2 linked regions of the Caenorhabditis elegans genome follow. The protein of the gene in region 2 purifies or fractionates together with the protein of the main gene of each other region. This does not show direct contact. Each region holds a gene or a part of one and is shown on either strand. Other genes may lie near its edges.

Region 1 (3,191 bases), about 10 Mb from region 2:
CAAAAATTCAAACATTTATTGAAAAAGTTTTACCATAATATTTTAACCTTTAAAATTTCCAAAAACGTTTTTCATGACGGTTCAAATTTTAAAGAAGAAAAGCTTAATTTTAGCTGAAATCTTCAAATTTCTTTTTTTTTGGGTCGCAGTGAAATAAAATGAGATAAACCAAAAATTCAAACCGCTTAAAAAATTTTCAATAAATGTTTTGAAATTTTTTAAAAGTATCTTTAAAGTATAAAGTATATCAAATACATTGATCGGTTAGTTCATCTTTAATCACTAAAGTCAAAATGAAAACCGAAAAAAAAAGTTTTTCACCAATTTCACGAACAGCAAAAAAGTAACCGAAATGATGATAAAAGTGTGGAATGAGACGTTGCTTTAAAGAGAATTGAAACAACGATTTACAACATGAACACAAAAAAATACACAAAAAATTTGTAGTTTGTGCCCTGTCACAATGTATCAGTTGTGTTGTCAGGCAAATCGAGTTCAATTTGTATTAAGTGAATATTACGAATTTTTATTCTTTAAAAATGATAAGAAGAATGCACTAATAAAGTGAAATATATCAATGAACGGAACAGAGGAATGTGTCAATATTTGACAGCAAAGTTCAAAAGGCAAAATTTGGAGGAGTTGAAAAGGCTTCCCCAACCAACACACTTCTTGATTTAAAACATTTTGAAAAAAAATCATTATATAAGAATTTTTGATTAAAATCAAGAAAAAATGTAAAATTGCACAACATTAGATGATACCTCTACCCCAAACCACACCAAGAAACTGTGTTAGTATGTTGGTGTGGAGATCGAAATTGAAAGAGACTGCAAGAGACGATGGGAAACAGAGAGAGTGCCAGAGATATTGACAGTTGGGGCCAAGTAATGCACGTGCAGAAGAGGAATGAGAATGCAATGCACTAAAGAACATGGACGGTTGTTGTTGTTGTTTTGATAATGGTTTATGGTCAATGGAACATGGCATTGCCATAAGGAAAGGATCATCGAGTATTTAGTCTTTTAGAAAAACATTCAACCTTTCTTAAAATTTATATGAGTACTCTTAAAAAGAAAGCATTTCAGCTCACTTTTAGACTTCAAAATGAAACCAATGCCATTTGAAAGAGGATCATTGAAAAAGGTCCCTACAAAAAATTTAGCGGCGGAGTGAAAAATACACGAAAAGCAAGTTCAGATCGACTTTTTTCTAGTTCAAAGAGTCGCTAATTTTTTTGTAGGGCGTCTGTGGATTTTTCCCTTAACAAAAATGGCAAAAAAACAGTGTCCATATACCAAGTATAACTGTTAAAAAATTAAACTTTTTCTAAATTTTTCAAAATGATTTTTTAAATTTCGCAACAAAAAAATTTAGAACTGTCTAAATTTTTTTTTGATTTTCAGGGCAGATTTACGACCTACCCTCGACTTTTTTGCGTTTTCCAGATATATCATTTGGTATTGATTTGCAACATCATTTGTCAAATTTTCAGGCTTTTTTCCGCAAAAAGACTTTCAATCTGAAGATAAAATATCGAATTTTAAAGCAATATAAGTGTTTCACCAAGTTTCTTACGGGTTATCAAGCTTTCTCTACAAAATACGGAAAATGGCTGAAAATGTTATTTCTTTTTTTTTAATTGAAGAAAAATTGATAGTGACACCAGTTGAAATGTGATTTAAAGTTTTTATTTTTCTCTCTAAATTTTCTCTGTCAAGCTCAAAATTAGAATTTGAGCGTTTCTTCTTTATTTAATTTCATGTCAAACCACCATTTCAACATGAATCATAATCGAAGAAAAGAAACAAACGACTTTTTGTTCCACTTTGCACGTATTCTGAAATAAAAGTATAAAAACTGAAAATTCGTTCATTGTGGCCTGTGTTACCATGCTCAAGGAAATAATTTTGATTTTCTATTCTTTTATGGTTGTCTTCGGGCATCCACCAAAATGTTACCTACCGCAAGCAAAAGGAACATCTTCAAATTGTTCTTATGAGGCTTCTATTAGAGTGAGTAAATCAGTTTAAATTTTGCCAAAAATTTTCTTTTCCAAAACTATATTTGTAACCTTGCTTTAGCTCTCCAAAATCTGTTTGAATTTTCAGTACCATTTTGACCCTAAAACGAATATATGTCATGCATTCAAATACGAAGGATGTGGTGGAAACGTGAACAATTATGAGACTCCAGGAGATTGCGGTCAGAACTGTAATGTAGACGAAAGTAAATCGATATTCCATTATTTATTTTTTAATTGTATTATTTTTAGAAACATATATACAGTGTGCTCTCGGAGCTCCACCTATATTCGATAGCCGTGGTAATAACAACTGCCCGTTAACAAGTGAGGAGACTGGGGAAGGATGTGAAAGTGACGAGGCTGTGTGTAAATATTTTTCAACGATGGCTCTATGTTGCAACAAAACTGTGGAAGTTGGATTGAAAGAGGATCAATCTACAACATGTCCTTCTGGAAAATCGCGGTGGCAGATTGGTGGAATAACGGTACTTGCCAAGACTTGTGATGACGTCATTTGTCCAAATGGGTACACTTGCCAAAATGGGATGTTCTTTTCTTACTGTTGTGAAAATTGAAAATTGTTAGATGAAAAATTAAGAATTGAGAAAAAATAAAGCTGTAGAACAAACAGAACAAGCAAGATGTTGCAGTGGTATCCCAACCCCTTTTTGGCAAATTTTAAAAACGGAAGCATGAGTTACTATGTCTAAAACTATTCTAGTTATATGTACTTTGGAACTGATCGTGGACGTAGGGCTTTCAGGCGCCAAAACGCCTGACGTGCCTGCCTTCCGGCGACCGCCGCCTGTCTCACGACACGACTGGTGTATAGTGCGGTGCGGAGCCCAAACATTGCCAGGCACTGTGAAACCTCCATCGCATAATGCTCTGCCGCCAAATGCAAAATTGAAACAAGGTGGCCATCAGGTTTCAGGCAGGAAACCGCACCTCCTACGGAAGCCATACATGAAAATAAATGTATTATGATAGTTTTATTATATGAAATAAAAATTATTTAGCACAACAATACGAGTAGAAGTTTCCCTTCTGACAATCAAACCCTGTTGGGCAGAATTTGTGATCACATGATTTTCCAATGAACGCCCTGTCCTTTCCTCCTCTGAATGTTGCATACTTCTTCTTTCCATTTGGACAAACGAGCTCT
Region 2 (5,101 bases):
TCAGATGCTGTCCTGTAATCAAAGCAGTCCGTGTCTTTTGTGGCAACTCCTTTCTTATCCATATTAGTTGTGAGGAACACTTTGAATAAGTCAATTGGTGCTTTGGAGACTAATTCCGGGGAGAATTTTCTAAACTTTTTGAAATTAAGTTTAGTTTTCCTCCAGTCAGTGTACATTCGAAGAAATGGTCGAAGTGGAATTGACCACAAATATTGTTCTGTTCGAAGCAGTGCAAACATTGGAGAAGTGATTTCTTGATCATGAGTATTCTCGTTTTTTACAAGAACGGTAGCTAATTGGAACATTATCTCCAGCTCATTTTCTGGGCGAATATACTTTAAACGATGTTGTTCAACTCCAGAATAATCACGAACAGTCTCAATTGTAGCAACTTGAGGTATAAGTTCTTGGCAGACAGTCAAGTTAATCATGTCGTCAATACATTCCTTAACCTGTCTGATATCTTCGAGTGGCATATTATTTCGAAAAAGTTCCAGAACAATTGGCTTCAGATTGATTTCGGCATCGGTGGTGAATGTGACGTCGTCGTGGATAGATGCTCGATTCTCTGGTCTCATAATATACACGGATCTATTGAATTCCTCGTCTGTCACTTTTGATAAATTTTCTCGAAGCATCGTGATGTTTTCCTCGATGTTGTCTTCTTCCACTTAAAATATTATAACTTTTTATTAAAAGTTTTGAACATGGTGCTGTGTCAATGGGAAGTTTTGTCAATTTACCAAAACTTTGACAAACAAATCCGGGTAGTTTTTCCAGAAATTGTTTTAATTTTAAATTTTTCAGAAAATTAAATTGTTCCAGAAAGTTTCTAAAATCGTTGCCTATTCCTAAACACTCTTATAATAAGTTTGATACCGAAACCGCGAAATAGAATGGGAAAAAGAAAAAATTTGAAATTGAATAATATATTCACAAAATTTTTTAATCTCTAAACAGGCCGTAATTTTAAAAAGTGCTCAAAAACTTACGCCATTGCATTTGAAGTCTGTATACATCCCAGAACTCCTGCTCACATTGCGGGTCTGTCATATGGTAGACGTTTTTCCTTTGAAGTAGCTTCTTCACTTCACGAGCGGCATCTCGAATGTTGAACACACCTTGATCTCTCACTAAAACATGTATGAAGTTAGATCTCAAGTTTACTTTGGGGAGCAACATATTTTTACAGCATTGAAATTTGTTTTTCACAGTATTTGAAATTATTGAAAGAAAAACATGCTAACTATAAGTGTGATATTTTACAAAATTTGATAAAGTTAATTAATAAGCAAAAATCAGAACCTTACCTTTTTTGAACTTTAACCATTTCTCAAGAATATTTGAACGTTTGAATGGAGATTTCTTGTAGTAACGTAAACGGAATTGAGATCGAAATTTAAATGGTGTCACAATAAAGCAAAACCGATCCTTTCCAAGATATTTCGCCAACTTTAACAAATCAGGCGTGGCTGGTCGAATCTTCGAATGATGTACCACTGATGGTGGTTTAGAAAATGATGTTTCGGGATCTTTAAGCTCTTCTCTCACTACATCCCTGATACATTTCTCGAATGGAAGAGGAAATTGATAGGCGGCCATATACCGTTTGTAGTGCACGTCCTGGAAGATTAAGAGGTTTTTCAAATTTTTTAGTTAAAAAAAAAGTTAACTCACATTCTCCTTCGAATGCCATAAATAGTTCAAAAACTCTCCACCTCGTTTCCTATGGAAGATTCTTAATAGTCGTCGTCTTTTCCTTCTCGCCTGGTTCTTTTTGTACGTATTGGACATCTTGATCTTTTGGACGAGATCTCTATCAATTAGTCTAGCTGAAAATTTATTTTTCTAGGGAGAACCAAAGAAATATTGAGCTTACGCCACTCCCGAGGATATAAAGGGTTATACTCCCAATTACGGTGATCTGGTACCGGGATCATAAATGGATCATAGAAGTCGGCGGCAACGTGGTAGTCTGAAATAAATTAAATTTAGAATGTATGATGCATGTTGCATCGTAATCGCCCCTTTACTCGCCCTCGCACGATTCCAATTAGTTGTCATAATATTAACACATTTTCTATATATTTTTATGTATTTTTTGGATTTTAATGTCTTTTTTAGTTGACATTTTACATTTAAAAAATTGGAATTTCAACTTTAAACCATTAAAAACACTTTATTTGAAATTTTAAAAATGAAAAATATGTAAATGTTTACCAAAAAATTTGCATATTTTGAGATAATTATTTAACAGCTTCCATCTGGGCGAGGGATTTTAATTGCCTTTTCTGTCGCTTTCCTAGAGTGCGTTTTCTTGTTGCGGTTTTAATGAATATTTTTGAATATTATTTGTGTTAAAAAATGACTTCAGTTGACGACTTTTTCAAAAAAAAATTAGGTGTAAAATAATTTAATATTTTATGTATATTTTCATTCAGCTTTTGTAGAATCGAATGCTATTTCTATTTTGTTTCTATCAGTTTTTTTCAACAAAAATAAACTCACTGAGATCAGGTCTTTCTAACTCTCCATCCAGGTACAATCTACGTGCAGCGACTACAAGTTCCTGAGTGAACGTGACTTTTCCACGAATAGCTTTTCGAATTCGTAGCTCCACGGGTATGCTCTTGTCATTGACAAATGCAATCGATACACAGTTGGAGAATGGGCCATCTTCTTCAGTTGGGAGCACTATTGGTGGTTCGTCAGACATTTCTAATGCTCTGAAAATTAAATTTTAAGATTTTTAAACTTTGACAGCTTATGTCTCGCTTGTTTCACAAGATATCAAAAAGTTTCAACTAAAAAAATTGTATAATATTATTGTCTAATTTTTTGTAGTTGATAACGTTTTGATATGACTAGAAATGAGCGATAAAATTTGAAAATTTCAGAACTTTTCGAATTTTTACTTTCAAGATTTTTATTTCACATTTAAATAATATTTTTCCGTTTTTTTTCACTTCAAGTATTATATTTTAATTTTGATAAAAATTATTCACAATATTTTAAAACATAAAAACTCACTTTTTGAATAAATATGCAGAGGAAGTGATTAAATGTGATTTGGGAATCGGGATCCCCGGAAACCAAAACTTCTCATTTACCAGTGGCTCTTGTTTTTTTTCTCTGAAATTGAATTTAATCTTGAAAGCAAATAAAAAAAGAATTAATCAAAATGAGCGCGGGAAAATCTCACATTCAAAATTATAAGGCAACTAGCGTAGTTCGCAACATCTCGAGAGGGGGAGATGGAGAGAGTGTGTTAGAGATTGAGACGTAGAGATGGAAAGACACATGAAGAGGAAAGAGAAGAGGACAACACATGGGTGCATCTAGTGTTTTAGATAACTGATTTCAAAATAGGGTTATGGTAACTAGAAAAAAAATTGAGCAGAAGAAAAAAGTCTCTACATACTTTCAAATCAGAGGCCAAAAATTGAAAATTTCTTGGAAAGTTTCTTGAAAATGTCCATTTTTAAAAGATTGCAAAAAGTCAAATTTTTAAATAAAATCCCGTTTTTGAGTTCTGGCTCAAGAAAAATAAGTGTTAATCAAATCAGAAATTTTAGATTTTTAATTGCTTCAAATGATGAAATCTGCTAGATATCAGGACGAGACCCACAGAGAAAATTAACATAACTTGTCATATTTTATGGGTTATGATTTCTGGAAAGTTTAACGAGTGAGTAACTATGGAAACAGAAACTAATTGTCACAAGAGTCAGTTTTGAAAAACCTGACAAAACTAATTAACACAAAAATATGCATATACGAATCGATAGATGTAAGACTAGCATACGGACGCGCGAGCTGTTAAAAATCCACCGTATCTGGATGGCAAGTGACCTGACCTTTCTTCTGAAAACTAAACATTCATGCGTGTGAGCAAGTGGAGAGAGAAGAGTTGGTTCAGTTTATGATTTTTTGAAAGTGTAATGGAGTGAGTAACTATGGAAACATTTTGGAGATTCCCACGAGAGTGTAATACCCGAGATGTTACTTGCCAACATTTTGAAATGTAATATTAGGTCGGCAAATAATTTACTATTGACTTATTTTGTCAATTTACGATTTTTTGTAAGTTTTATATGCGTGACTTATAGTGAACCGTGAGTGTATAAAAGCATTCAATTATTAGCTACTTCGGCCTTCTAGTATAAGGATTCAAAAAAATCACTCAGTTGTCACCCAGTTGTCACTCAGTTTTTTTTAGCAGGCGGGCACTGGCAAAGTTCTCATGGTCTCTCTCGACTGCTTCCCTACATTTTATAGATAGTTACTTAAAATTTGGGTCTGATCTGTCCATAAGACGTCTTTTGAAGAGCATTTGTCGAGTTTCCTCCGAGAGTCGGTTGGCGGAGTGGATGGATGGTTGAATTACTGATTGATCCTGGGCTGTTTTGAGAGAGTCGACAAGGATCTTGTAGTCCTCATCAATATCTCCATGAGCAGGGGCAGTAATTGTTGCGCTGACAGCCAGAGCTGTAGCTTTATCCAAAACTCTTTTCGGGGGTTTTCTCCTTTTCACTTGATCTAGTTTCGCCAAATTAATGTTGAAATGGATGTTACTTTGGAGAAAACTACTTCAGTGATTCGGGGGAGGAGGTGCTTGTGACGATGAAGCCGACCCCTCCTGAAACAGAATTTGGGTTTCGAGATCCTAGAAAGATCTCGACCCCGTCGGCGCCAATTGCATGCTTTTCCGTTGCTCTTTTTGTTTCAGAGAGTCCGATAATATCGAACTTGATTCTCTTCGTCTCTTCGAGCAGTTCTGCAAGCCTGTCGTTGGAGGAGACAGACCTGCAGTTGAAAGTCGCAATTCTGGCGTCGATTCGCCTTGTTTTGGGCCGGAGGCTAGCTTTTAACCGTTCCGGGTGACAGGTACTCCGAGATTGGATGGCCCCTCCCGATTTGCTTGTGGATCTGTCGTACCACTTGCAGAGATCAGGTGCGGAGGACTGGGGCGCTTGGTATTGCTGTTTAGAGCAAAGGTTGTGTCTCTAGATACTTTATAATGACCTTTTGGAATCGGCGTCAAAACGAAAATATTACAAAATTTCTAATCTTAAAAAATGACAAATAATGAAAATTTTCG

The links.
Region 1: the proteins of sdc-3 (region 2) and K11D12.13 fractionate together in Caenorhabditis elegans (co-fractionation; one large-scale study listed by BioGRID). This does not show direct contact.

What each region holds. Positions count from the first base shown.
Region 1 is NC_003283.11:5,031,517-5,034,707, forward strand, and holds K11D12.13 (BPTI/Kunitz inhibitor domain-containing protein), read left to right. Parts: upstream 1-1,882; 5' UTR 1,883-1,892; coding exon 1,893-2,015; intron 2,016-2,111; coding exon 2,112-2,229; intron 2,230-2,275; coding exon 2,276-2,601; 3' UTR 2,602-2,655; downstream 2,656-3,191. Other genes in the region: K11D12.6 (BPTI/Kunitz inhibitor domain-containing protein), read right to left, coding at 3,038-3,191.
Region 2 is NC_003283.11:15,045,076-15,050,176, forward strand, and holds the start of sdc-3 (Zinc finger protein sdc-3), read right to left. Parts: upstream 3,133-5,101; 5' UTR 3,031-3,132; intron 2,727-3,030; 5' UTR 2,717-2,726; coding exon 2,509-2,716; intron 1,976-2,508; coding exon 1,880-1,975; intron 1,833-1,879; coding exon 1,678-1,832; intron 1,624-1,677; coding exon 1,311-1,623; intron 1,134-1,310; coding exon 993-1,133; intron 671-992; coding exon 1-670. UniProt on the Caenorhabditis elegans protein: Component of the SDC complex that functions in sex determination and in X chromosome dosage compensation specifically in hermaphrodite (XX) animals.